4 linked regions of the Arabidopsis thaliana genome follow. The protein of the gene in region 1 binds, or shares a complex with, the protein of each later gene. Each region holds a gene or a part of one and is shown in the gene's direction. Other genes may lie near its edges.

Region 1 (7,350 bases):
TAGGAACATTTTGGGCAGCAGCAACAGGCAATGCAAATAGAAAACGCAAACTTTGTTAAGGATTGGTCAACATGCTCGGTAATTTACTCGAATGACTCTTCTTTAGTTCTCATTTGTAACAAAACAAATTGTAAACCCGGCTGTACAACTTTCAGATGCAAGATGGGATTCAGATTCCTTTAGAACAACAGCTTCAATCTATGTCATGGATTCTTAATAGCAACACCACCAACATTGTCACCGAGGAACACAATTCAATCCCGCAGAGGTTAGTGAAAACTCTCACCGAGAGAACTTTTCTTTCTTTTAATATTGAATCATATCTTAAAACCAAATCTTTGTCTATCCTCAAAAGGGAAGTCGAGTGCTCAGCGAGTTCTTCATTCGGGAGCTATCCAGGCTACTTTGGAACAGGGAAATCTCCTGAAATGACAATTCCGGGTCAAGAAACAAGCTTTCTTGATGAACTAAACACCGGACAGCTGAAACAGGACACAAGCTCGCAGCAGCAGTTCACTAATAATAATAATATCACAGCATACAATCCCAATCTTCACAATGATATGAATCATCACCAAACGTTGCCTCCTCCTCCTCTTCCTCTTACTCTTCCGCATGCTCAGGTGTATATTCCAATGAATCAGAGAGAGTATCATATGAATGGATTCTTTGAAGCACCACCACCTGATTCTTCTGCTTACAACGACAACACCAACCAAACCAGGTTTGGTTCTAGCAGCAGCTCCTTGCCTTGCTCAATCTCAATGTTCGACGAATACTTGTTTTCCCAGGTAACCAAAACAAAACTTTCTCAGAGATTCTAAATGGGTTTTTGTTTTGTAGACTGATTTGACAATTTGTTCTTCTTTCTTATAGATGCAGCAGCCGAACTGAGAGAGATTTGATGAATGATGATAAAACATCTCACTGAAGAAACTCAAACCAATATTTTTTTTCAGAAACAGCAAGAAAGCTAAAACTCTGCCGATTTCTGAATTGGTTCCAAGAAGAAAAAAACCAGTGGTAATCCCTGGTAGATTGTGCAACCAAACCACACACAATACGTGTTCATTTATTTTTTCTATATCTTCAATAGATGTCACTTAATTCTTTTCTATACATAATTTCTCAGTCAGATGAGATTTTTTGAGGTTTTCCATATTTCTCCGGCGATAAAAGTTAGTAGTGTCTTTGGAGGGCTGTCAAAGTAACGCCATGACAGCCAAAAGATGAGAAACTCTCTCTTCCTTCCCTTCCCACAAACTCTAGCCTCTGTATCTATTCTTTTTCATTCTTTCAATGTAAAACAAACAAACAAAACAATGTTTACTACATTTTTGTTTTTGTTTTTGTCTTCAAAGTACTCTTGTTTATTAAGTGATTTATACAAAAGTTTACAAGTTATGTAGGATGAACTAAGGAAGCTTATGTTTATGGGTTAGAGAGACTACATTGGATGATTCTTCTAGGATTTTGAATCACCAAGAACCATCAACAAAGCCAACAGTATCTTTCACACAAGTTACTAATATCTTCTTAAATAGTTTTACTTTGTAAGAACCATTTCCTTGAGTGGGTTTACAATGGGACGGACTAACTTGCGTACAAAGACCGTTTTTTATTCACTATTCATAATTTTGGTCCGCAGTTTAGTAAATAGGAAAAAATATAAAAACTCTAGGGGAATTGGAAAACTAACCAAAAAAAAATATAATTAAGAAACTAGCATAAAAAAAAAAGCAATGATATCCTCTATATTTTATATATTAATTCCAAGTTTACCCCCTCTATCTCTTTCCGTCTACCTCTCTCTTCCCTTCTCTCTCCCCTCTATCTTTTTCTCTCTCTCTCTTTCTCTCTCTTTCTTTTTTTCTCCCCCTCTCTCTTTCTCCTCCCAATAAAGTTCCTACACCTACCTCGTTACTTGTTTTTTATTTCAAATTAGAGTCTCTTAATTACTTTAGGGTGATATTTGATTTGGGGGTTTCGAATTACAGAGCGAGGAACACAAGTTAGGTTCAGGGAATTGACTTTCGTTGTTGCACTTGATGATGAAATAGGGTTCCGTTGTTGCGCTTGGTGTATTGGTGATGAAATTGAGTTCCGTTGTTGCATTTTGAGAGATACTATTCTATTTTGTAAATAGTATACTATTTACGTATACCTTGTTCTATATACGTTTTAAAATGAATTGTTTGTTTTGATTAAAGATGTTAAGTGATTTCATTAATGTTTTAGATTTAAACCCTTGGGTTCCCTATATATTATCCCTTTAGGGTTTAGTATACTTCCATCAAAAAATATTGTCAATTTATATAGAACGTTATGTTATTCATTGACAACACTATTCACATCTAAATTATTTTGTGTCTATTTTCAAAAATTTAAGTCATGATATTTGTAGAAAACTATACAACTTTTTAATAGATATATCATGAACTTGAATTAAATTTTTTAAGATCAGATAATATGAGTTACAATTGAAAAGGAGTAAAGAAAAAAGAAAGAGAAAAGAGAATTTCTCTCCTACCACCTATTTCTCTTCTCACCTCAACACCAATAATAAAGTCACGTCAGCTCACACTAATCATTCTCCTTCTTCGCTGACGAAGCGTAACACCAGGACAGTGATGTCTTTTTACTCTCCTTGAAGGTTATTTACTACATTTACAAATTTATGGTGTTAGTTGGTTAATTATTTAGTAAAAAAGTGTTATATCTACAAATCACGCAAAACTCTATTACGGACCAACAAATAGTTTATTTGAAAGCAAAAAAACAAAACTTGGTCCGTAACGGATTATTGTCCGTCTTAGAAATATAATGGTCTACTCCGCAAACAGATTTGTCCGTCTTAGCGACATATTGGTCTAGTCTGCAAACGGATTTATCCGCTCTGTCTATTTGTTGCAACCTTGTAAGTTTTCAAAGAGGAAACACATATATATGTTATGGATTCGGTATGTTATTATATTTCCCGGTTCTATTTCTCAAACACACTCTCTCGTCTTCTCCAATAACTAACTTCTCCAAATCAAAGCCTTCTTCGAGATTTTGCGCATTCCTCGTTTTCTAATTCGTAAGTTTCTCTTTTGTGTGTGTTTCTAATCGAAACTTTTGTGTCAATTTCAAATCGGAAACCTAATTAATTTGTTCAATTCGCTGTGATGTTAAAAACCCCTAATTACGTTAAATTTGGAATTAGGGTTTGTGTATTAGCTCTGTGTTATCAATGGAGACACAGCCGCAGCAACCACCTCCTCCTCCGGTAGCTGAGAAGCTGAATCCAAAACTGGAGAAGGAACTGAATCTGGAGTCGTTGAAGACACGAGCCGTTAGCTTGGCCAAAGCCATTGCTCGAATCCTTGAAGATTTCGACGCTTATGGTCGAACCAACACTACTCCTAAATGGTTCATCATCATCGAATCCAGAATTTGATAATATTTTGATGTTTATGAATTTTTTGTAACAAGGATTGATTTTCTTTTTGTTTTGAACAGGCAGGATATTCTAGGGCAGTATTCGATGGTAAATCTCGAGCTTTTTAACATTGTGGAAGAAGTAAAGAGAGTTTCAAATGCGTTTGTTGTGCTTCCTAAGAACGTCAATGCTATGAACGCTGCAAGTATGGTCTTTTTTTAGTTGTTTTAGTTGATGAGTTAAATGAATTGTGAATGTGATGAACTGGTTTAGCTTAGCATTTATCAGTGAATCTGCAGTTTTACCGGTTATGTTGTCTTCGAAATTACTACCGGAGATGGAAACTGATGACAATGCCAAGAGAGAGCAGTTGCTTCAAGGTGTTCAGAGTTTGCCTATACCAATGCAAATCGAAAGGCTTAAGGTTAGTTTTGTAATGTATTTTTGTTGTGATTTGTTTGCTGGTTTTTGAAATGGTATCTGTTATTACAGGCGAGGATGGATATGATTGCAGCAGCTTGTGAAAATGCAGAAAGAGTATTAGCTGATACTCGTAAAGCTTACGGATTTGGCACTCGTCAAGGCCCGTCTATGCTTCCTACTATGGATAAAGGTCAAGCTGCAAAGATTCAGGAGCAGGAGAAAATGCTACGAGATGCTGTAAATGACGGTAAAGGTAAGAGGGTTTTAGAATTTATTGAGTCATTTGATAGTGTACGAAACTGCAGTTTTCTGTTTTGCTGAATTCCTTCTCATGTTCTTTTACAATGGTTGTTTCTAGGAACACAACTGCCTCCAGACCAGAGACAGATAACCACTGCACTTCCACCACATCTGGCAGATGTGCTAATTATCAATGATGCAGGTAACGATTTCATTGATCTGTCTGGTAGAAGTAAACCCAATGCTTGAATCTTCTTTATTTTGTTACTACTACCAATGGTATTCTCACGTTGTTAATGGCTCCAAAAATTCTCTTTCATTAGGTAAGATTGCATTACCTGGGCAATCAAACAACATTAACAATCAAGGAATGATGCAGGTTAAACTAGTTTATTCTCTCTAGTTGTGATGATTATTACTTTTGTTAGTATCATTGTCTTTCGAGGTTCATGTCTTTGTGTGTTTTTAGGTTTCCGGGACTCAATTTGTGGGAAGATCAGCTGCATCTCCATCTGGTCCTAATTTTGATAACACAACATCTCCCTTACCATATTCCAATTCTCCTCGCGCTACGGGTATGGTTAATGTGCCTTCGCCTCAGCATCAAATCCAGCAACAACAGTTTCAACAGCAGCAGCAAAGGTCAAAATTAATGCAGTTGCCTCAACATCAGCAGCAGCAACTACTTGCACAACAACAACAACAGCTCAGGCAATCTTCTATGCAGGGATTGGGTCAAGTAGGCTTTGACATTTTGCAGACGTAGCAATTGACTGTTTTTTCCTACCATACTGCTTTATTGAGCAACATGCTAATTCTTTGTGTAGAGTCAGATACCAGCACTTCATGATATGCATGGGCAAGCTCAGCAAAAGTTTCAGACGGTAAGATAAATAGAACTACAACATAGTTAGGGGATAGATGTGTGAAGTGAAAAGGATCAGACACTACCTTGGTCAATTATTTGTATCATTATGCAGTAGTTATGGCCATAAATGAAGATGACTAGACGTATTTATACAAGTTTACATATACCAAGTGAATGATTCATACTCTTGAAAAGTTATCCTAGATCTTGGGACTTGGCAGAAGCTTTTATATAAAAGTAACTGTGACAGTTCGTAGTTTCAAACAGTAGAATCAAATGAAATTATGAAACAAGCTTTTGTCTTTTAAGTGTGAGTTTTATCTTATTTTTCAGTCACATGGGCAACATCAAATGCCATATTCCCAGCCAATGGGCGCGCACCAACAATTCCAAGCTAGACAGCTCTCAGGTGGACATATTCAGCATAGCATGTCTCAAGGACAGCTCAATCCAGCGATGAACCGTCACTTAAACCAGTTTTCAGGTGGAGCCAATAGTGCATTGTTTACTTCTGCACAAGGCTCCCCAAGTAGCCAAATGGTCAGTCACCTCTCTTTAACCTCTTGAATTGATGATTCGAAACAATTACTAATCATATTTTCTACGTACTTTTTCTTTTAATTCTAGATACCAAACATGTCATCTATGCAATCTCAGACACTTGTTCCTAGGATGCAGGTTAGCTCAAAAACTCCTCTACTCATTATGTTTCCCAAATCTGAACGATGAACATTGTCTTAATCTGATGATCTCTTTGGATTTTTATGGTTGTCAGCAATTTGGAGTTTCGGGTACCAATCCCCAAAGAAGCCATTCGTCTCAAATGTTGGGTGACCAGAGTAAGTAAACAAATCTCTTCTAAAACATGTTTTCTTACATCAAAATCGATTCCCTGACTATTTCATTTGTCCTATCTTTACAGTGTTTAACACCAGCGGAATGATGCAAACACAGCAAACACAAATTCAGCAATCGCAACAGCAGCAGCAGCAGCAACAACAAGGAGGCTATGGAAATATGCAGACGAATCAGCAGAGTCTACAGCCTAATAACATGATGCAGAATGCTCAACAAAGGCACCAAAATCCTCAATAACCCCTTTTAAATAATTTGGGCTTGTAATGGGCCGATGCCTGTATTTTGTAGTACCAAAGGCCTGGCCCATTCTTTAACATTAATACACTCACCAGATTTCTCTAGTTGTATGGTACTTTCACACTACACTAGTACACTTTGTTTACTTGTATCATTGTATGAGGTTAAAAACGTGAAGCAGAGATTGGACGGTGGAGGATTGTTTTCGTTCTGACATGTTTATTGAGAATTCGACACGTGGCATCGACGTGAACATCTCGACGCCGTTGATGGGGTTATAGAGACAAAACGAAGACGCGTTTCTGTTGTACACGGGACTCGAGAGAGCGACGTGTCTATGAAGTTTACCTGTTTTCTGAACTTTAAACAGAGAGCTTTAAAACTGCGACTCGAAAGCTATTAAATTTTCTGACAATTTGTTTTGTTTCTTGTCAACTTAATTTTATATACTCATTTTTTATGTACTTATTTAGCTCAACGACTCGTTTAGTTACCTCAATCAAATTTTGAAATTTAGTTACCATTTCTTTTAAATTTTTTGTTTGCTTTTGTTACAAATATGAAAAACTAGTTTACTTTGGTTTTTAGGAATTTGCGAAAAAATCACTCAAAATCGCTTATTTTTACAATTTATTGTGCACATTCAAAAAATGCAAAATAAATTTATAAAATTTAAAATAATACACAATATAATTTATTTGTGCGATTTTGCATATGTTATAAACGTTTTCACTATAACATATATTTGTATTCAAAAGTTTTAAAGATATAATTGAACTCATCATCTCAAAGGCTTTGATTTGATATATTATTTTCTTTAATATAAATATTCAATGCATAATTTTCTTTAAATTAATTTTATATAAAATAAATATTTTACTATATATTATATGAAATAAATGCTTTATTATAGGGAAAAAACCCAAAACAAACCTCAACTTGTTATGAATAAAGATGGATGCTCATTATAACGCCCATCATCTAAACTCATCATCTAGATGTTTCTAAGGTTTTACCCTTTCCTTGTAATCCTATATAAAGAACCCTTTACCTCAATGGAATAACACACTCATTTTCTTCTATCTCTTTCTCTGTTTATAACACGTTATCAGGACGCTCTAAAAGGTAGATATAGAGATTCTTACATTTTTTTAAGAACCATGTTTACTTATCGACTCATGGTTCATAGTATTTATTTTCTATTATTGAAACAAAACAATATGAGCCGATCGATGATTATAGTATAGATCGGTAAAAGCATGTTTTCAATGATTCAATAAAGAAGAGAATCATGCTTATCATT
Region 2 (5,081 bases), on another chromosome or scaffold:
GTGCTTAATCTTTTTCTTTTCCCTCTCTTGATTTTGGTTTTTGGTTATGCTTCAGTGCATTGGATGGGGCTGTTCATTTCTGGAAGCTTCAGTCTGATAGGTAAGTCTCCTGTAAATATGCCTGATCTACTGATTATGATATTTCTTTCTGATTTCTTGGGGGTTTAAATGGTTTTAGGAGGGGTTATTGGATTATTCAACTTCAAATCCATATAGAATTCCTTGATTTTCATATGTATCAGAAATTTTAATTATGTATTTCTAGTTCCAGTTGACATCACCTTCATCCATCCACGTGATAAGTAGGCGAAATTTAGTTTCACTTATATTTGTCAACAAGCTGCAACGTTTAGTTGTACATGATCTTAAGAGATAGAGTTTTGTACAATTTTTTCTACTCTTATTTTCGTGAACATTTTAATCTGAATTTCGTTGGATACTAACCTATCCATCATGCTTTCACCATTGAGCAGGTCCACCGCTACTTTGTTTAAGACGGTTAATCGGGTAGCAGTAGATCAGAAGAAATGGGCAGAAGATATAGCTTGGCATCCACATAAGAATGCACTTTTCTCCGTGTATACTGCAGATGATGGTCACCCTCAGATATCAGCCATATATCTGAATGAAGCTGGAGAGGTAAAAGTATATGAATGCTGTAGCACATTCTAGCGTTTTACCATATTAAATTTGCGATTGGACATTCATGAGTGGAGTGTGTGCTTAAACTTGTAGAAAGTTAACTTGGTCTTCATAACCTGTTAGAAAGAAAAAAATCAATATAGCTGGAATAATTGGGAATTTGATTCGACCCTTGACTTATCTACTAGTTGTAAGATCTAACTTGATGGTTATAGTCTTTTATCCTTGGGGAAGTTAGTTATGTGCTCATTTCTTTTTGGATATCTGTTCATCTGCAGAGATGTGAGTCGCAATTTATGGAGGACAGGCCTCATAGCAAAGGTCTTATCAACAGAATCATGTTTACGCCTTGGGATGATCCTTGCTTCATCACAGGTGGGAGTGACCATGCAGTAGTGTTATGGCGGGATCAGTGTGAGAATAATGCGTGGAAGCCGACGCTTCTGCATAGGGACTTGCATTCGTCGGCTGTGATGGGAGTTACTGGAATGCGCCATAACAATCACGTCTTGTCATGTGGAGACGATAGGAGATTTGTTGGGTTTGATGCCCGAGAAGAAAAAGTCACATTTAAACATAGACTAGACAACAGATGCACAAATATAATGCCAAACCCGCGAGATGTTAATCTTGTCATGGTTAACACGAGGTAAAACTGACTCTTGATTTATATATATCCCAGAAGAAGCGATTGCCTTAAAGTCCGTTCTTTTGCTTGTGTTGTGTTTGCAGGCAGCTAGACCGGCAACTGCGGTTGTATGATGTTAGATTGCCTCAGACAGAACTATTTTCTTTTGGGTGGAAGCAAGAAAGCAGTGAATCGCAGTCGGCTCTAATTAATCAGTCTTGGTCTCCAGATGGTTTACACATCTCATCTGGTTCTGCAGACCCCGTGATCCACATCTTTGATATCCGATACAATGCACCGAGCCCGTCTCTCTCGATGAAAGCTCATAAGAAAAGAGTGTTCAAAGCCGAGTGGCACTCTTCTTATCCGCTGCTCGTCTCCATCTCATCAGATTTAGCAATTGGGATTCACAAGCTATGGTGAAAACTTGTAAAGCCATCACCTGAATTTGAAGGCCATTAACTTCTGAAACAGAACTTGTCTTGGCAAGTTGGCACAAGGTGTTGATTGGCAAGTAAGAACTGAGTACAGCACGCAGGCTGGATACGAAAACTGTCTTGGGAGTTGCATAGGTCAGTCCAGGGTCTGATGGCTCTTGTCTTTTGATTTTTTTTTTTAACTGTGGGAAACTCTAGCTTTTTAGCTGTCACATTTTGCGGGGATTACAACATTACAATGTACAGTATACATTTTTGAGGGCCAACTCATTGGAGCCAAATGTCCTCAGATTTTCTGTCTGCTATAATCCTCAACCATAGTTAGCATGACAAAGAGTTGCAACATCTATATCGATTGGTCACAAAAAAACTTTTGTATGATTGCATAAAGATTCCGGTCCATGTTTCAAAATTCAAGATTTGTCCTTGTGATTCATAATCTTGAGATAAGTAAGAAAGAGATTCATAACATGACTAAAAATGCCACCAAGTGAATCTTTGAATGTAAAGTAACTCCAAGTTTGGGCAGAGACTTCTCCATCTGCTACCGAGTATAACGGTTCTTTTAAGACCGCTTCTTGTGGAAAAAAAAAAAAAAAGACCGCTTCTTAAACCGTAATTTTGTACTAATTTTCCAATCTCTTTTTCTATTTGCATTCAGAACCGGTTTAGGCCTTTGGTTTATAACCAAAATTCAATTCAGAAATCAGAACCAAAATCCTCCGTCTACCTCCGTCTGATTCCTCTATTGGGAGAATCCAAATTTGCTTCAGGTTCCGTTCGTTCATGGCTTCGCCAGAGGAGATGGGTGATGATGCATCAGAAATTCCATCCCCGTGAGTGCATCTTCTTCCTCTTGTACACTTTCATATTCTTCAAATCTGCTCTTTTATTATCTAATTCGCATCTCTACAGGCCAAAAAACACTTACAAGGATCCCGACGGTGGAAGGCAACGATTCTTACTGGAACTTGAATTTATTCAATGTCTCGCCAATCCTACTTACATCCACTGTAAGTTTAGAATTCGTTCTATGGCTTAGGGTTTTAGTGTTCGAAATTGAGATTTAAAAAGGGATTTGTTCTAAGGCTTAGGGTTTGTACTTACCACATTCTGCTTTTGGTTACTGTTTGGCAGACCTGGCACAGAATCGGTATTTTGAAGATGAAGCATTTATTGGATACTTGAAGTATCTTCAATACTGGCAGCGACCAGAGTACATCAAGTTCATTATGTAAGTTGGAATATCTTATGGAATTGGTGTAGTCTTGTAGAGTCTTGTGAAGGTTTGGATAATATATCTTTGGTTTCCTATGTTCTTGTTACAGGTACCCACACTGCCTATATTTCCTTGAACTTCTTCAAAACCCCAACTTCAGGACTGCTATGGCTCATCCTGCAAACAAGGTACAAGAATACGATATGAATCATCAAGTGAAATCAGCATGTTAGTGAGCATTGTGAATAGGGAGTGGTTCAAAATGTTAGGGTACTGGTGTTTTTGGAATGTGTTTTGGGGACTTGTAGAGTTTAGGGTCTCTCTAGTACAAAACCTTGCTTACGTTCTGCTAGTTTGGTTCTGTGATTCTGCGTTTATGCCCATCTATTCATGAGATAGAGAAAGTTGTTTAATATTCTAAACTTTATGTCCTTTGTCAGAATTTCTTATAGGAAATCTATTGTTGTTGAAGTTTTCTTAAGTTTTGAACTTTGTCTTCGGTTGAATCTGGATTTTTCCAGGAATTGGCGCATAGACAACAGTTTTACTATTGGAAGAACTACAGAAACAACAGACTGAAGCACATTCTACCTCGGCCTCTTCCAGAGCCTGTACCTCCACAACCACCAGTTGCACCTTCAACTTCTTTGCCACCTGCACCATCTGCAACTGCTGCTCTCTCTCCAGCCCTTTCTCCAATGCAGTACAATAATATGCTTTCTAAGAATGACACTAGGAATATGGGTGCTACTGGAATTGATCGTAGGAAGAGAAAGTATGTGCTCCTTTCTTCTTCTTGATAATGATGACCATTTTGTGTGTGTTTTTAAGATGACTGCAAATGTGTTACGAAAAAAAGCAACACTCTAATATGTGAGTCATATAATGTCAGGAAGGGTATATAAGCATTTCCTGCCCTGAAGCATACACCATGGCGTCAGTCGTCAGATATGGTTTCCTCCATGTCCTAGGAGGGAAGCCTACTTGACTCAGGTTACAAAAATGTTGGAAACTCGGTATTACTCATTCCGTGTCATAGGCCGTTTATGGAAGTTGTCATATATGGTGTTCAATCTTTGTCTATGATATACAACAACCCCCAATCAGTATCAGTCTTTATCTTTGTTCCTATCGATCTTGACAATTGCAACACTTTATTTTTTTTGAGAAGCTTAGAAGCAATAGGAAAAATTATGGGAATGCCAAACATTTGTCCTTGGCAGAGATTGCTTCTGCCGGTAAAACATTAATTAGGAGTGGGGTTTCCATGTTGCACTTGTTGGTGGAAATTGTACGAAATGACTCTTTGACGTATCTTTGACAACAGTTAGAAGACCCAAACATGACAGAGTGTGCTATGGACCATGGTATACGAAACTTGATATGTGATGAAACTCGTATAACGTAACTCACGGTTCAAGAAAGGAGAAGAAAATAGCATAACTCAAGGATATGAATAAAAGAAGAACATGAACACTTATGGATTAGAAATGACTTTGATACCTTAAAATGTTGAGATTCTTCTCCATTGAATGATTAATTATAGGGAGGTTTGTTAATATAGTCCAAATTTTGGGGCTAATGTGTGATTGCAATCAAAACCAAATTTTGGAAATAGTCCACTTTTCTCTAAAATTATAATTAAAATACCATCATCAAGAGAAAAAAAGAGGCAAAAAACATAGTTACCTAAAGTAGAACGTCCAAATATGAATTTTGATATTAAAGTTAAATTAACTTTAGCAGAAAAAGGTTGAATAATATTTTGCCAAATTATCAAGTGATTAGGTTTATGATTTAAAATATTTCTAACTAATAATAATAATAATATCAAAGAAAACCGTAACCGACTCTACCCTTTAAATATAAACATAATCTCAGCCGTCGGTTTAAACGTGTCGCATCTCCATCGTTGATTAGGACTTGGCATCTTTTCGTCGCCTCTATTTAAAGAATCTCATCATCTCTTCTGCCGTTCGTACACAGAGGTTCTCTTTGCCTTTAATTTATTTTTCTTCTGCCCAAACCAAAAAAAAAAAGTTTCCAGATCCAAAATTACAACAAAGATTCTCAAACTCCTAAAACTTCATCTTAAAAACTTAACAAACAAAATTCTAATTACGAAAAATCCCAATCCTAGTGTTTCTCTTGTTGG
Region 3 (7,861 bases), 3.1 Mb from region 1:
TAGAATATGAATTAACTATGCTTTGGTTCCGACAAGACAGTGAAACAAGAATGACATTTGCACAAGACCTTTGGTTCTGCCTCCTTGATCTCATCTCCTGCTTCGTCCTATTGACCAAAGAGTTATAATCATGTCAATTACAGAACTTAGTGAACAATGATCAATGTATATTGTGTTGATGCTTACAGTCATATCTGAAGTCCAGAAAGTGAGATTGTCTCTAAGAATCTTCATAATCAGGGTACTGTCCTTGTATAATTCATCACCCAATGCATCCAACTCAGCGATAGCACATTGGCATTGTCCAACATACAAGAACAAAGATCTTGCAACGACAACATTTAGTTTAAGCAATTAATGAATAAAAGCAGCACAAAGAACATAATTACTAGTAACGTCTTCAGGTGACAAAATATGTACCATCATCAGAGCCTCCGGTTGCAGGCCGTAAACAATCCTAGTGGCAAAGTAACAACACATGGTTATGGGATCTCAGAAGCTTCTTTGATTCTCATAGCACCAATCACAAGGAGAGTCAAACCAACGACTCTTGTACCCCAAGTCCTTATAACTTCAGTGTGAAGCCTATTTCAATTTCAAGGTATAGAGCAGTGGATAATCTCAAGGTAAACTACACAGAAAAAACTACAATTCACATAGATAGTTCGAACAATTACTACAAACTTGATATTTACGATGTTTCAACAATTACTTGATCATGAAACCATAGACTACTAGTAATGAATCCAATGGTTCTTGAAACAACTGAAACCTATAAACATTGATGCTTCTTCAAAAACCACCAATCCAGTAACTTAAACCAAAAATAGTCGCAAACATCGATATAAACAATACACTGACGCTAATCCAGAAGATTCATAGTCGTGAATTACCTTAATACTCTGATTCAATCTTCGAGATGTATCCGGCGATGGATTCTGGCGGAAGAAGCATGAAAGGGAGCTGTCTCGGCGTGACTGGAGACGGCGAAAGGAGGTAAAGCTAAGACCCAATTTCTCATTAAGCCCATCTTCATTAAAAACAAGACCTAAACGTGAGAAGTGTGTACGTATGTATATAATGTCTTCTTCCTCTCGCCGCTTATGTTACGAGCACGCAATGTTAACCTTATCAAAATCATAGAAATTTGATCTCAACTCTCAAGTCACCATCATCCTCCACTATCGAGTTCACCATCGTTGTAGTTTGTGGTTGTGGTCCCGATCGTGTTAAGTGGTGACGTGAAGTTATCGTCACGTAACATCCAACCCTAATCATCACCATCTGAGCCACTATTAGCCTTCTTCGTCCTCCTTCTTCACCGGAATCTAGATCTATCATTGGTGCTTTGTTTGGGTCTGTGATACCGAATCCTCTACTTCTTCGTTGCAGAGTGAGATAACGGTGAAACCTTATTCTCGTATTCATGTTAAGGTGTTGTGTTGTTTAATTATTGAACCAACCTAAACCAAGGGATTACGTATAGTTACGGCCATGAATTGAAACTTGATTATTAAGGAACCTTTTGAGTTGATCGGTTATGGCGTCAGTTGGGTTGTGTTAGTGAAGAAGACGATATAGTCAGTTATTGGCTTATTAGAAAGCGTTGGGTTAATTGTCAAACCAGAAGTAGCATTGACATGTACGTGATTTGAATTGTGGCGTTGGTTTAATTATTAAACCGGGGAGTATTTGGTCACGTAAATGGATGTGGCGTAGTCAATTACGTGTTAAGCAACTAATATTAAATTATTAGACTTGGTTTAGTTATTAGATTAAATAACAAATTATTAAGGGAATATAATCTTGATTGATTAATCTAAATTGTTGTAGTTTGAGATCGTTGTTGAGCCGGATCCATTGTTGCTAGTCCTATTTCTTAAAATCCAACCGAGTTGCCAAGGTGAGGGTAGGATCTGTGGAAACATAGTATCACCTTTACTTTTGTATTTCTGAATTTCATTTGTATAAGATTAGACATTGGGTGCTGATTGTTAAAATGTTAGGATTATATATTAAATATTGTTGATTCAGTAATCAAACAATGAATTTGTACTAAGGGATTTAGACAAATTCACTCCTCTCTTAGCTCACAAATAATCAAAGGAAAAGAACTAGGTTGCTTAAACAAAAAGCTAGGGTTTGCTCTGTAATAGTAGTCTCTTGTATTAGGTTAAAGATGATCTCAATGGGGGGTTTGACCCCTCTATTTATACAATAGGTCGAATATACCAAAATATGATAAACTTCTAATTATCTTAGGTTTAAATCTTCATTACTTCTATTCTTCATGAGATCCTCTTCTCTTAAATGGAAGTTTTCCCTTTACACGACCTAAGAAGTTGGTTATGGCGATCTTGATTGTCGACTTAAGTCTTCGGGCGATCTCATGACTTAGGCCCATTAACAGGCTAACCGGGATACCCCGGTTCAATCGAATTCTCGATTTTATTCACATTATTCCTCGGTTTAAATTAGTATTGTCGGAGGTGCTAATTCCTGCACCAACAAATATTATAATACGTGTTGTGTGATATTATGCGATAGGTTGTTAGCGTGATATGCATATTGATTTTTGAATACTCTTTTGTCGTTTTCTTGTACTATATATTTATCTGTTTTGTGTTACCATGTTGAGTAATTTCTCTAATCATTCTTTTGTTTGTTTGTTAAGGTTTAGCGAGGCGGTTCTTGGTCAAAGCCTATACATACATCTCCCCGTTAGGACGCATAACTTAATGGAGGGAAATACTAACTGGAAGCCTAATGAACAAGGCGGAAACCGTGATGCTGCGAATAATCGTATTGATTGGAGATCACAACATGAGCCTGAATTACGGCAAAAGGTTCTTTCAAAAATGTAAGCCATTCTTTCAAGAGTTTCATGTTTCTTTTGTTGGACTCATTGTTCTTATTTGATTATTAACATTCATGAAAGAGAGTAAGGTTTTCTTGGTCATGCTTTCGATGTGATATTTGTAGTTTGCGCATGATAAAGATTGCAACAGTTAAAGCATAAGAGTTGTGCATAAATGTTTATCATAGTTGACAAAACCTAACTTCAACCTTTTGTACTTTAAGTTTTGCATATTCTTTTAACCTCATTACCTGCATTTAGGCTCTTCCTCACTAGGAGAATCTTGTTTTACTCTCGCTTCTATGTACAATTGCTTGGCACATATGTATAATTGTTTCAGTGTTTGTTCGCTAAACGATTATCGTAAGTTCGAATATTAACTACGGATTATTTTCTCTGTTTTGTATTTTTAGTGCAATTAAAATGGTATCACTTCCTCTTGAATATCAGTTATAACCAAATTCTTCATAGTCACTGATATTTTGTTCTCATGTATGTGTAGAGTTGAAAAGTTCAAGGAAAAGTTTCATGCACATGAAGAATATAAGATTAACGACATCGCTTCCAAATTTGAAGAAAATTTTTATAGCATAGCAACCGATAAGGTGTTAAACTACAAATTGTTTCTCCATCTATTAACTTCAGAATCTGAATTTGATATCTTACTCATTGTCCCCTTGCTATGTTTCAGAATGATTACCTTAGGAAACTCAGTGAAACACTGCATTATATACAGAGAACTTACACTAGAGTTCTAGGTAATAAGTTTTTGGTTTCATAATTATACTATTTTAGCTTAATAACAAAGAAATCACTAACTAACTTTTTTTTTCTATGTGTTTATCTAAACATCAGCTTCTCAAGTAGTTGTGAATCAAGCTCAATCTCTTCCCGCCTTGTTGCCATATATGCAGACTACAACGAGCCAACAATGGTTACAGCAAAACACACAGAGCAATCTCTGTGTCATCTGCTTTGCCAAGTCAGGTCCCTATAACCGTTCCCGGTTCTCAAAGACAGATACATGGTAGGCAACAACTTCTTCCTCAGCAGCAACAGCCTCAAATGAATCAAATCCGCCATGGTAATTTACGACCTTCGCACATGCAACAACAAGCTCGGTCACCGCAGCCGCAACATCATCCGCAAAGTTTGTTGAAACAACCTATTCAACAGCCTTTTCCTCAATCAAGCTAACAAAACACTCAATCACTGACCAGAAATCAGTTTTCGATACAACGGGTCAGTTTTAGTCATCAACAACAGATGGTTCTGCCGTCTCAAGAACAGAAACGACAAGAACAAGAGCAACTCATTAATCAACTGACGAATCTTCCAACATCACGACCAAACAATAGAGACCAACAAGGAGCTTTTCAGGTATCCTCGTCTCAGCAGAACAATAATGTTACCTTACATGCAATGTCTCAACAGAAGAATAACCTCCAAAGTATGACTAGAGGTCAACAAGTAGGACAATCTCAACCAATGATGTCACAACAATACCGACAACAATACCCCATGCAGCAGGATCCTCAGAACAGAAACTTACAGAAACATTTGGATTTTGTACAAAACAATACCAATCAATTTCAAGCAGCAAGTTCGTTGCGCCAAACACAAAACATAACAGATCAACAGAACCAGCCACAACAATTAGAGAGAGCAAATCCATCTAGTATGTTTCCTCTCTTACTAACTCTTGTGATAATGTTTTTAGTTCTAATAATGAATATCATTGTAGCATCTCAAGATTCTACGGGAAAGACGGTAAATGTCAATGCCGGAAACTGGCAGGAGGAGACCTATCAGAAGGTATCTTCACTTGCTTTGCTCTTCACTTCTTAACATCACAATTAGGGTTTGATTTTGTTTTCAATTGATTCCCATTCTGATATGTCCTGCAGATAAAAAAACTGAAAGAGATGTGTTTACCTGTTCTCAGTTTAATGCACCAAAGAGTTGCGGAAAAATTGCGGGAGGTACTTTATTTTATAACCTAATTGTTTTGCTTGTGGAACAAGAATTTGTTCTAATGGTTTTCTTAATCATTTTTTTTTCTAAAACTTTGTGTTGTTTTTGGTTTAATAAACCTAATGTTTCCAGACTGAATCTCTTCCGCCGCAACCGATGCAAGCTCAGTGGATTGAAAAGCTAAAGGCGGGAAAATTGTCAATGGAACACCTTATGTTTTTCTTAAATGTTCATAGGAGCAGTGTATCAGAGAAACATAGAGACAAGTTTAGTCAATATGAGTACCACATATTGAAATTTACCAAGAGTCAGACCATGGTTTTGAGGCCAACGCAGCAACAACAAGGACAATTTCCTCCTTCTCAAACAGCAATGCAAACCCAAAGTCCTCAAGTCCATGTGTCACAGTCTCTTTATAAGGAGCAAAGGAGATCACGGTTGATGCCAAGTAGCCAAAATGAGGCCTCGTCTTTGTTGCAAATAAGGCCTAAGTTGGATCCAAGAGACGAGAACATCATTATGGCTTCCTCAGGAAATGTCATGTTACCTTCTGTTAAACAAAATCCTCGGGCCGTAAACACAAATATCAGTTCGGTTCAGTCGTTGCAGAAGCAGAAGCGATTCCATCACCGACAAATGCAACAACAACAACCACAACAAGGGAATCATCAACATCAAATGCAGACAAATGAGATGAATGATGTGAGGATGAGGGAGAGGGTCAACATTAAAGCCAGGTTGCTTGAGCAACAAGTCTCATCGAGTCAGCGCCAGGTTCCAAAGCAAGAGTCTAACGTTTCATCCTCTCAGATACAGAACCACTCTTCTCCTCAGTTAGTTGACCAGCATATTCTTCCTGCGACGATTAACAAAACCGGAACCCCATTGAACTCTAGTGGTTCGGCTTTTGTTGCTCCAGCTCCATCTCCAGTTCCTGGAGATTCTGAAATGCCTATATCTGTTGAGTCTCCAGTTTCTGGTGTTGATGAAATAAACTCAACTTTAGATTCTTCTAGTAAACTTGGCACACAAGAAACTCCTCTGTTATTTGTTCCTCCGCCCGAGCCAATCACAGAGCGGCCTATTGATCGACTTATAAAAGCGGTAAGTAAACTCTATAGCTTATCTAAGTTTACTTTCTTTACCTTCTCCTATTTACTGACCTAATTTTTAATGTGTGTGGCTTTCTAGTTTCAAGCAGCATCACCAAAATCATTGGCAGAATCTGTAAGTGAGATTAGCTCGGTGATTAGTATGGTTGACATGATTGGAGGATCGTTCCCTTCTAGTGGAGGATCTAGAGCTGGTTTAGGCGAGGATTTGAGTGAGAGGACAAGAAACTTTACCACACACGAAGAAACAAATCTGTCTAAGAGAATGAAGCGATCAATCAACATTGTGCCGCCAGATATGTCATCACAAATTGATAGTTATGAACAGTTGAGTAGCCTTGAATCTGAAGTTGTTTCCACAACATCATCTGGCTTGAAAGTTAACAATATTGCGGTAAAATCTACTCTATTGGTATCGAACTACGAAAACAAATGAAACATCGAAATAAATCCATTTTTTCAATCTTGTAGCCTGGTTATGCCCTTTTGCAAGAAATCAAAGAAACAAATGGGAGACTTGTAGAGACAGTGGTAGAGATATGTGATGAAGATTCTTTAGGAACAATCGTCACTTGTACTTATGCTCCTGTGGCTCTCAGTGCCACATTCAAAGATCATTACAAGTCTGGAAAAATTGTAAGTTACTTCAAACTTCTTCTTTTTCCTCACTCTGCTCAGATTTTTTATGTCTCTAAATGTTTGATGCAGGCACAGATTCAACCTTTACGCTTACTATTTCCTATGGATTATCCGTATAGTTCTCCGATAGTTCTCGAGGAAATCTCCTTTGACACTAGGTATGAATCTTTCTTAGAAATCAAGTAACAACGATTGGAGTAAATATATATGATCTTAAGGATTTATATCTGCATGTTTCAGTGTACACAAGTATGAGGATCTATCCGCGAGAACCAGATCAAGGTTCAGTTTGTCCATGAAGGAATTTTCAGAACCAGGGTTTTCGAAAGGAATAGCTCAAACGTGGAATGATTGTGCGAGAGCGACAATGGTTGAGTACGCAGAGAGACATGGTGGAGGCACTTTCAGCTCCAAGTATGGTGCTTGGGAAACGGTTCTAAGAGCTTCATGAGGACTAATACTTCCTTTCTCACTCACCGTACAAGATAGTTTTTAGGTGGGAAGCCTTATAGCCCAAGTTAGGTTTTTTTTTATTTCCTTTGAGATAGAAGTAACATTTATTTGTATGGTGTGGCTCATGTCTTCTTATTGTATATATTTTAACAAGAAATTATAATTGTTTCAAAACCGATAGTATAATAAATTATCTTGAAATATTTAGGCACAAAGCCTTTTTTTTAAAAAAGATTTTAAAGTATTTTATTGTTTTTTCTTATTACATGTTTCATTTATAGAGCCCAAAAGGTTGGAATATAAGTTTTAAAAAAGGATTACAGAAAATGAAGCCAAGCCTATAAAACTAAATCATCCTTAGTAATTTAAACATCCACTCATAAAGATTTTGCTGATGAAACGTGTTGATGAAGTGTTTTGCCCTATGACACGGGCCGAGACGTCAAGCACCGCTGTTGAATTCGCGGGAAACCGCTAGAATTCACCAAAATGTTGAGAATCGTCTTTCCTTCTGTCGATCTCGAACCCATGTCCAAAAATCGTCGATATTCTTTCGGATCAAGTGATGGAAGTCGCTTAAAAATTCTTCAAGTATCATTATCGTCGGGGAAGCTCCACCTCTGACGACACCCATATTGATGTGGCCGGATCTTTGTTCATGTGTGTGCATAAAGAAGTGGTATAGATATTACTCGTCGAACTAATTGGTGGGAACATAGAGGATTTGTGAAGAAACCAAAGACATCAACAATCACCAATAGATGGAGATCTAAACTCGCAAGGCAAGAGAGAACTTGATAAAAGTGGTATCAAAAGTCTTGTCCGA
Region 4 (8,947 bases), on another chromosome or scaffold:
AAATGCCGACAAATACTAATTGAATTCAAATAAATTTTAAAGTTTAAACGAACTAAAAGTCCTGGTCTGCCATAGCATTTTCGTACTATACTTCCCATGTGCCCCTGTGGCCTTGTCTTGGCTCTAAATTCATGGATTATTGTGAAGTCAATAGATAATTAGGGATTCATGTTAATTCAAGTAATTGTGCGTTAAACATGATTACCAATTATGTAATTAGGAAACATTCCTTCCGATCAATGATTATAATATAGTATAATGCTGGGAATAATTTAATCTAGTGCTAATTTTTTTCTATGCAGGTGCAAATGCTAACTAATTCTTATGTGTATTGGGTTATATAATCTTCGGTGGGGAGGGCCAAACACGACTAACTCAACAGTAAATGGTCAACCATATGTGGTATGGGCGGCGGTACATGTCATGCCCATTTCGTCGACCCTAAAATATGGTAATGTAGTATTTTTTCACAAAGGAGCATAATAATAATAGCGTTGATAAATAAATGGCTCCATGCAAATTATATATAATAAAATTATAACAGCATAATGATCATCAACATCATTTATTGCTAAACATCATCATGTTCATGCCCCCATGCATGATTACGATGGAAGAATCTGACATAAAAAATTGAAGGTCCAAATTGACAACGACTTCATCTTAATCTTATAATCTACATGTCAAGAATTTTATATAAATAAAATTGATTAAATTTATATAGGTGAAAAATTTCATATAAACGTGAGGAGGAGGAGGAGAATGAGATAAAAGGGTCCACCTGGGCCCAAAAACACCAACCCTGTTGAGAGATGTTAGGACCCTCGTGTGGGCTGGGCCCAGTCAAAAATCATTGTCTTGTTGTGTATAACAAACATTACAGGTTCACACGTGTGACACACTAGGTCCTTAAATGCTATGAATATATGTGATCTGATTTGTTTTATTTTACCATTAATAAGAAGGAGCTTAAATCGAACAAAACTGAATGATAAAACAAGATTTCACCACTGTATATATCGTAATACAATAATACATGCTGAAAAATATTAAGGTAAATGTGTAGATGTAGAGAACAACATGGCTTAAACACAACCAAACCCATAAATTTATTATTCATGGATATTGGATATATGCATTATATGCATTATTATAAATTAATTGACCTCGTATTAACATTTTTCTAGAAATTGGTGCAGGGGGTGAATCGCGTCTACATCTATGTATTTTACTACATCCCCGTCTGTAAGGATTCACTGGTTGTTCGGAGGGTGCACATGCAGAAGGATACCGATGATGATCACAAGGAAGATCAGGCTTCAACCCTGGATACCCAATTACTTTTCCAACCGTCATGTTCATGCTGCTTATGAACACACATGCTATGAATGTTGCCACTAGCATAAACCTATTTGTTATTTTCATATTGCTCATGATTTGTGTTTATTTATGTGTGTGGGAGAAATATATATTTGTTGGTAAGAATGGTACAGTTCGTGGTATTTATAGTGAATAAATAATTGTGAAAGAGTCTTATACAACTTTTACTTAAAAGGAAATTACAATAGGATGTTGAATTGACCGGTAGAAAATGTACCTACAGAATTCTTTAGTAATACATGTATTATAGATATAGTCCTTTTTTAGCCAAAGTAGTCAAACTAGCTTTTAGATATGCATGTTGTGGTCATAGTAATACTAATACAAAACAGTTTTATAGCCAAAGTAGTCAACAATATTTGAGTTCTATGTACTCTTTTTTTTTTGGTCAAAGAGTTCTATGTACTCTAATATAGTATATCAATATATTAGGTTTCATGTTCTTCCAGTACATGGAGGTGAAAACAAAGCACTTTTTTCTTACAGAAATTTTTTTACATCAATAATATGCAAATATCATAAACTAATAATAATTATAAATACACCAAAATAGTGTGTCAAAATTGGTTGTAGACAACTATTAGAATGAACACATCGCTGGGCTTTTTGGTATTGGGTTCAAAGTATATATAAAAATTCATGCTGGTTCTTTATTTGCCGCCCAACATAAATTAGTTGGACAAGTGAGAAGGCCTTGCTACTCCTACATGCGTTACACTATTACAGTATTACTATTGCTTCATAGAAAAATAAACCTCGTACCAAAATCTCAAATAAGTGTTTCTTGTGGTTCCTTATGAAAAATTGTTATACACTATTACAGTATTACTATTCACCGTTTATTGTCGGAACTCGGAACAACGTTTTCACCGTCCAATTGTTATACACACTATTCACCATATATACATTAATACATCACACATCTTCTACTTAAGAGTGTAGTGTACATTAATGATAATTTTGTAATTAACCTTTTTAATGATGGTTAAAATGTCTAATTAATAATTTAATAGTGACTTACTTGCTTACGTGGATAAAAGAGAGACCCCACACAAAAATTAGATTTTGCCGTCTGTTAAAAAAAAAGGCTTCTTCAGCCGATTTCTCCAAAAATCGTTTTTTTTTTTTTTTTTTTCATCTTCCGTTCAACGTTTTGCGTTCGACTCTTCCCTGACCCCTTTCAATTTTAAACCCTTTTTCTCTGTCTCTCTTGTCCGAATCAAATCCGGTTGCTGGAAAAGGGAAGCTTTGTGCTTTTGTCGTCGTGGTGGGGGAAGCGGAGGATAAGAACCCTAATTTTTTACGAATCGTGAGATCTCCTAAGTTTCTGAATCGGGTGGTGGCGATTTTGTTTCTTTCTCCGCGATGGCGGAATTAGGGCAACAGACGGTGGATTTCTCTGCTCTTGTTGGTCGAGCCGCAGAGGAATCGTTCCTTTCTTTTAAGGAACTTGTGGATAAGTCTAAGTCGACGGAGCTTTCTGATACTGAGAAGAAGGTTAGCCTCCTTAAGTATGTCGCTAAGACTCAGCAACGGATGCTCCGCCTCAATGCCCTCGCCAAGTGGTGTAAACAGGTTTGTCTTTCTCTGTTTCTCGCTAAGTATTAACGTTTTGGGTCTGTGGGTCGAAGTGAAAGTTTGAAGCTTTCTTGGACTGGAATTGGATATGTTGCAAGATTAGGGTTTGGTTTTGTTGATTGCATGATCTATTAGTTTTAAACACATTTCCCGTGGATATAGTTTTGATGTTTGTAGGATGATTTACAGACTTTGAATGGAATTGGAAGATCCTTTTGTGTGATCTTGTCCTTGATGGGTTTTTGTTGTTTGGATTACGTTGCTTGTCTACTAAAGTTTAGATTTGTCTCTTAAATTCCATGGAACTTCACATTCCAAGTAGGCTTATCAATGTTATCATGTACTTCTGTTATTTCTGCATATTTTAAGAAATTTATGACTGTAGTGTCTCTGTAAAAATTCAAGGTAGTTTACTTCAGATCAACGTTCCATTTTAAAAAATTATGATTTCATAGATTGTTGATGCTTGCTTGTGTTCACTTTCTTTACAGAGTAAGTATTCGAAAATTTATTGAGCTATTTATTCATTTTTGGCTAAACCTCCTGGGCTGCAGGTTCCTCTTATAAACTACTTTCAAGACCTTGGGAGTACATTATCAGCTCATGACATATGCTTCACACAAGCTGCGGATTCGCTGTTTTTTATGCATGAAGGTCTACAGCAAGCTCGCGCTCCTGTCTATGACGTTCCCTCTGCTGTTGAGATTTTGCTGACAGGTTCTTATCAGCGCCTGCCAAAGTGTCTAGATGATGTGGGCATGCAGAGCTCTTTGGATGAGCATCAACAGAAACCAGCTCTAAGAAAGCTGGAGGTACTTGTACGTTCCAAACTGCTTGAAATCACACTTCCAAAAGAAATAACAGAGGTGAAAATTTCTAAAGGTACAGTTACCTTATCTGTCGATGGGGAATTTAAAGTTCTTGTTACTCTTGGTTACCGAGGGCACCTATCCATGTGGCGGATATTGCATTTGGATCTACTTGTTGGTGAAAGAAGTGGCCCCATTAAACTTGAAGTGACAAGACGGCATATCCTTGGAGATGATTTAGAGCGTCGAATGTCCGTGGCAGAAAATCCATTCACAATTTTATATGCGGTGCTCCATGAGCTGTGCGTTGCCATTGTCATGGACACAGTCATAAGACAGGTCCGAGCTCTTCTGCAGGGGAGATGGAAAGATGCAATTCGCTTCGACTTAATTTCAGATACTGGTACCACACCAGCGAACCAAGAAGGAGAGGCAGATTCTGTTAGTCTTCGAACGCCAGGAATGAAACTTTTTTACTGGTCAGATTCTGATAAAAATTCTGGCCCATTTATTAAAATTGAACCAGGGTCAGATCTCCAGATTAAATGTTCTCACAGCACATTTGTAATTGACCCACTTACTGGCAAGGAAGCTGAGTTTTCTCTCGACCAGAGCTGCATTGACGTGGAGAAGCTTCTGCTTAAAGCTATATGCTGTAATAGATATACCCGTCTTCTTGAAATTCAGAAAGAGCTTTTGAGGAATACTCGTATTTGTCGAACTCCAAGTGATGTGATCCTTCAAGCCCTCCTGGATGAGCCTGGTATTGAGGTAAAGAAAGAGTTGTTTTCGGCTTAATGTTGAATATTTTGTTCCTTGAAAGTTGTAGGACTTTTTCCCAGGTCAGAGCTACTTACACTAGTTGGACATTTAGTATGTCACTTGCATGTCAATAGATAGATTTCTGTTTATGACACATAGCCCTTGCTAAATAATGCATAGCTTTCATGCTATAGACCATGAGATTAAGCATTAATAATCGCAAATTTAAATTTCAGAGATGGCCGAACCTAGGTTTCGATAATTTATATTTTTTCGAAAAAGTAGTTTAATTTTTGCAGTTCACATGGCCTATTGCCTAGCTTCTTTTGGCTGGGGAGCTAGTATAGTTAGGCCATATTTCTCTTGCTGTCTCAACAACTAATTGAATTTAATTGGATCATTTTCTCTTTCGCCATTCTTTTAGGGAGATAACATGGTAGACTCTAAAGAGCGAGTAGAGCCAGAGGTCTTACGAGTGCGAGCCTATGGATCTTCATTTTTCACACTGGGGATAAATATAAGGTATGATATCTTCATCTATGTATTGGGAGAGATCTTATTTTAGCTGACTATTCTCACTATATGTTATTGATTGCAGGACTGGTCGGTTTCTTCTACAGTCATCCAAGAGTATCTTGACCTCCTCCATCTTGGAGGAATTTGAAGATGCGTTAAACCAAGGAAGTATATCTGCAGTTGATGCCTTTATCAACTTGAGAAGCAAAAGTATTTTGCATTTTTTTGCTGCTATTGGCAAATTTTTGGGTCTTGAGGTAGTAATTGTTTGCCTCAGCTTGTTGTTCAAATTCACTCTCTGGAGTTGGGAGTGTTGACGTTTGCGTTTAATGCAGGTCTATGAACATGGTTTTGGTATAAACAAAGTTCCTAAAAGCCTCTTGGATGGGTCAAGCATTCTGACTTTGGGATTCCCTGACTGTGAAAGCTCTCACCTTTTGCTAATGGAGCTCGAAAAGGACTTCACACCATTGTTTAAATTACTGGAAACTCAGATGGATGGTTCGGGAAAACCTCAGTCTTTCAATGATCCAAGCAATATTTTGCGAGCTAAGAAAATTGATATAGGGCAGATACGGATTCTCGAAGATGATCTTAACTTGATTACATCCGATGTGGTTAAATTTGTATCTTCATTCTCGGATGCTGAGGGCATAAATCAAGCATCTGGACACCGTCAGCCTGGATTGGTTGACGAGGCTTTGACAGAAATGAGTGGAAGCCAGTTGAGTTTCTCTAGTGTCGTAGATGGAGTGTTTGGACTTCAGAAAGTGACATCTGCTCTTATGTCAATTGATGGACATGGTTTAGTTCCCAAAAATCTCTCTGCTGTTACCGGCCATGGAAAAGCTCCAATGTTGACTAGCTATCATTCAGATTCCTTGTATAATCGACAGGGTCCCTTACAATCTAGCTCTTATAATATGTTATCATCTCCCCCTGGGAAGGGTTCAGCTATGAAGAAGATAGCCATCTCTAACTCTGACCAGGAGTTATCCCTGATACTGTCTCCATCCCTCTCTACTGGGAATGGAGTCTCTGAGTCAGGCTCTAGACTGGTCACTGAATCCTCATTGTCACCTCTTCCCCTATGTAAGAACATTTTTCCATAGCCTTTTTTTTTACCTTCATAGAACTTTCTCAATATTAGAATTCAAAAATTTCCGTTATTTGCAGCTCAAACAGCTGATCTTGCAACATCATCTGCTGGTCCTTTGTTAAGGAAAGATCAGAAGCCCCGGAAACGTTCAGCTTCAGATTTGCTAAGATTGATCCCATCCCTCCAGGTAGTGGAAGGTGTTGCTAGTCCCAATAAGAGAAGAAAAACCTCTGAACTGGTACAGAGTGAATTAGTGAAGAGTTGGAGCCCTGCATCACAGACCTTATCCACTGCCGTGTCAACATCAACAAAAACTATAGGATGCAGCTATGGGAATCTCATAGCTGAAGCAAACAAGGGGAATGCACCTTCAAGCGTTTTTGTTTATGCTCTTCTCCATGTGGTCAGGCATTCTTCGTTGTCCATAAAGCATGCCAAACTAACTAGTCAGATGGAGGCATTGGATATTCAATATGTTGAGGAAATGGGACTAAGAGATGCATTTTCAGATATATGGTTCAGGCTTCCATTTGCTCAAAATGATTCCTGGCAACATATATGCTTGCAGCTTGGTAGACCTGGAAGCATGTGTTGGGATGTGAAAATAAATGACCAACACTTTAGGGATCTCTGGGAACTTCAAAAGGGAAGTAAAACCACACCATGGGGTTCTGGAGTTCACATTGCGAATTCATCTGATGTTGATTCTCATATCCGTTATGACCCTGAAGGTGTTGTTCTGAGCTATCAGTCTGTGGAAGCCGATAGTATAAAGAAGCTTGTGGCCGACATACAAAGGCTTTCAAATGCTAGAATGTTCTCCCTTGGTATGCGGAAACTACTTGGCATAAAGCCAGATGAAAAAACAGAAGAGTGCAGTGCTAATTCCACTATGAAAGGATCTACTGGAGGAAAAGGCAGTGGTGAGCCAGTAGATAGGTGGAGAGCTTTCAAGATTGAGGCTGTGGGATTAACAAGCCTGTGGTTTAGCTTTGGTTCAGGCGTTTTGGCGCGTTTTGTTGTCGAGTGGGAATCAGGTAAAGATGGATGCACCATGCATGTCTCTCCTGACCAACTATGGCCACATACAAAGGTGAGTAGTTCGCAGGACTTAACATTTGCTCTCTTCATGGGAAATATTTTTATTATAAGAGTTCCAAATATATGCTTTTTCTCATCGTGAGTTACTCTTGTACAGTTCTTGGAGGATTTCATAAACGGAGCAGAGGTAGAATCCCTTTTGGATTGCATTCGCCTTACTGCTGGGCCTTTGCATGCATTAGCTGCCGCTACTCGCCCTGCCCGAGCTAGTACTGCCACTGGCATGCCTGTTGTACCTGCTACAGCGTCTTCAAGACAATCAAATCAGATACAACAAACTCAAGGAATCATTGCCCCTTCAACTTTAGCAGCTCCTAATGCTACTGGCCAGTCTGCCTCAGCAACTTCAGGAAATACTGTTGCTTCTTCTGCTCCAAGCCCACTTGGTGGAGGTTTCCATGGAGTTGCAATGCTAGCAGCTGCAGGGAGAAGCGGACCTGGCATCGTTCCAAGCTCTCTCTTGCCCATCGATGTCTCTGTAGTACTCCGTGGACCCTATTGGATAAGGATCATATACCGTAAACGTTTTGCAGTAGACATGAGATGTTTTGCTGGAGATCAAGTCTGGTTGCAGCCAGCAACTCCACCCAAGGGTGGTGCTTCTATTGGAGGCTCCTTGCCATGTCCCCAATTCAGACCTTTCATCATGGAGCATGTTGCTCAAGAATTGAACGGTTTAGAACCAAATTTGACAGGTAGCCAAGGAGCAACAAATCCCAACAGTGGAAACCCAACTGTTAACGGTGTGAACAGAGTTAACTTTTCCCCTTCTAGTGCAAGAGCTGCAATGAATCGAGTAGCCAGTGTTGCTTCAGGATCTTTAGTGGTTAGCTCAGGATTGCCTGTGCGTAGAACACCAGGCACTGCTGTACCAGCGCATGTAAGAGGTGAATTAAACACAGCGATAATCGGTTTAGGTGATGACGGTGGCTATGGCGGAGGATGGGTTCCTCTTGTGGCTCTTAAAAAGGTTTTGCGTGGTATCCTTAAATATCTTGGAGTACTGTGGCTATTTGCTCAGTTACCAGATCTCTTAAGAGAGATCTTGGGTTCCATCTTGAAGGATAACGAAGGCGCTCTCTTGAATTTAGACCAAGAACAACCAGCCTTACGCTTCTTTGTCGGGTAAGCCAAACCAAGAAACTTATGCTCAATCTTGAAGGATTATGCTTAAGCTTATCTATTGTTTTGTTTTTTTGTTGTTTTTGTTTTTGCAGTGGCTATGTGTTTGCGGTGAGTGTCCATAGAGTTCAGCTCCTTCTTCAAGTCCTTAGCGTAAGGCGATTCCATCACCAAGCACAACAAAATGGTTCTTCTGCTGCGGCTCAAGAGGAGTTAACCCAATCCGAGATTGGAGAAATCTGCGATTATTTCAGCCGCCGTGTCGCATCAGAACCGTATGATGCCTCAAGAGTTGCCTCTTTCATAACACTCCTCACGTTACCCATATCGGTCTTGAGAGAGTTTCTGAAACTGATAGCTTGGAAAAAAGGATTATCCCAATCACAACAAGCTGGAGAGATTGCTCCTGCACAGAGACCTCGAATCGAGCTATGTCTAGAGAACCATTCTGGTACAGATTTAGACAACAATTGTGCAGCTAAAAGCAATATCCATTACGACCGGCCGCACAACACGGTTGACTTTGCGCTAACCGTTGTTCTTGATCCTGTGCACATACCCCATATAAACGCGGCTGGAG

What was found.
Region 2: MED8 (region 1) and MED31 share a complex: the UniProt entries of both Arabidopsis thaliana proteins name them as parts of the mediator complex.
Region 3: MED8 (region 1) and AT2G10440 share a complex: the UniProt entries of both Arabidopsis thaliana proteins name them as parts of the mediator complex.
Region 4: MED8 (region 1) and SWP share a complex: the UniProt entries of both Arabidopsis thaliana proteins name them as parts of the mediator complex.

Annotation. Positions count from the first base shown.
Region 1 is NC_003071.7:902,746-910,095, forward strand, and holds MED8 (mediator subunit 8), read left to right. Parts: upstream 1-2,767; 5' UTR 2,768-3,079; intron 3,080-3,205; 5' UTR 3,206-3,232; coding exon 3,233-3,411; intron 3,412-3,501; coding exon 3,502-3,626; intron 3,627-3,720; coding exon 3,721-3,845; intron 3,846-3,913; coding exon 3,914-4,097; intron 4,098-4,202; coding exon 4,203-4,286; intron 4,287-4,407; coding exon 4,408-4,463; intron 4,464-4,553; coding exon 4,554-4,823; intron 4,824-4,911; coding exon 4,912-4,968; intron 4,969-5,285; coding exon 5,286-5,492; intron 5,493-5,579; coding exon 5,580-5,630; intron 5,631-5,727; coding exon 5,728-5,791; intron 5,792-5,874; coding exon 5,875-6,047; 3' UTR 6,048-6,527; downstream 6,528-7,350. Other genes in the region: AGL30 (AGAMOUS-like 30), read left to right, coding at 4-78, 156-268, 356-824. UniProt on the Arabidopsis thaliana protein: Component of the Mediator complex, a coactivator involved in the regulated transcription of nearly all RNA polymerase II-dependent genes.
Region 2 is NC_003076.8:6,730,234-6,735,314, reverse strand, and holds MED31 (SOH1 family protein), read left to right. Parts: upstream 1-2,324; 5' UTR 2,325-2,493; coding exon 2,494-2,543; intron 2,544-2,622; coding exon 2,623-2,720; intron 2,721-2,844; coding exon 2,845-2,941; intron 2,942-3,035; coding exon 3,036-3,114; intron 3,115-3,179; coding exon 3,180-3,269; intron 3,270-3,447; coding exon 3,448-3,701; intron 3,702-3,818; coding exon 3,819-3,831; 3' UTR 3,832-4,079; downstream 4,080-5,081. Other genes in the region: AT5G19920 (Transducin/WD40 repeat-like superfamily protein), read left to right, coding at 56-100, 474-639, 921-1,291, 1,375-1,693. UniProt on the Arabidopsis thaliana protein: Component of the Mediator complex, a coactivator involved in the regulated transcription of nearly all RNA polymerase II-dependent genes.
Region 3 is NC_003071.7:4,012,924-4,020,784, reverse strand, and holds AT2G10440 (mediator of RNA polymerase II transcription subunit), read left to right. Parts: upstream 1-2,738; coding exon 2,739-2,860; intron 2,861-3,197; coding exon of another isoform or gene 3,198-3,224; intron 3,225-3,359; coding exon 3,360-3,462; intron 3,463-3,548; coding exon of another isoform or gene 3,549-3,615; intron 3,616-3,712; coding exon of another isoform or gene 3,713-3,771; coding exon 3,772-3,884; intron 3,885-3,974; coding exon 3,975-4,099; intron 4,100-4,142; coding exon 4,143-4,535; intron 4,536-4,577; coding exon 4,578-4,672; intron 4,673-4,764; coding exon 4,765-4,839; intron 4,840-4,963; coding exon 4,964-5,935; intron 5,936-6,022; coding exon 6,023-6,337; intron 6,338-6,414; coding exon 6,415-6,579; intron 6,580-6,621; coding exon 6,622-6,740; intron 6,741-6,822; coding exon 6,823-7,033; downstream 7,034-7,861. Other genes in the region: AT2G10450 (14-3-3 family protein), read right to left, coding at 12-107, 187-279, 421-480. UniProt on the Arabidopsis thaliana protein: Component of the Mediator complex, a coactivator involved in the regulated transcription of nearly all RNA polymerase II-dependent genes.
Region 4 is NC_003074.8:1,291,292-1,300,238, forward strand, and holds the start of SWP (RNA polymerase II transcription mediator), read left to right. Parts: upstream 1-2,506; 5' UTR 2,507-2,745; coding exon 2,746-2,955; intron 2,956-3,512; coding exon 3,513-4,538; intron 4,539-4,953; coding exon 4,954-5,051; intron 5,052-5,127; coding exon 5,128-5,302; intron 5,303-5,380; coding exon 5,381-6,137; intron 6,138-6,221; coding exon 6,222-7,237; intron 7,238-7,342; coding exon 7,343-8,370; intron 8,371-8,462; coding exon 8,463-8,947. Other genes in the region: RALFL21 (RALF-like 21), read right to left, coding at 1,117-1,434. UniProt on the Arabidopsis thaliana protein: Component of the Mediator complex, a coactivator involved in the regulated transcription of nearly all RNA polymerase II-dependent genes.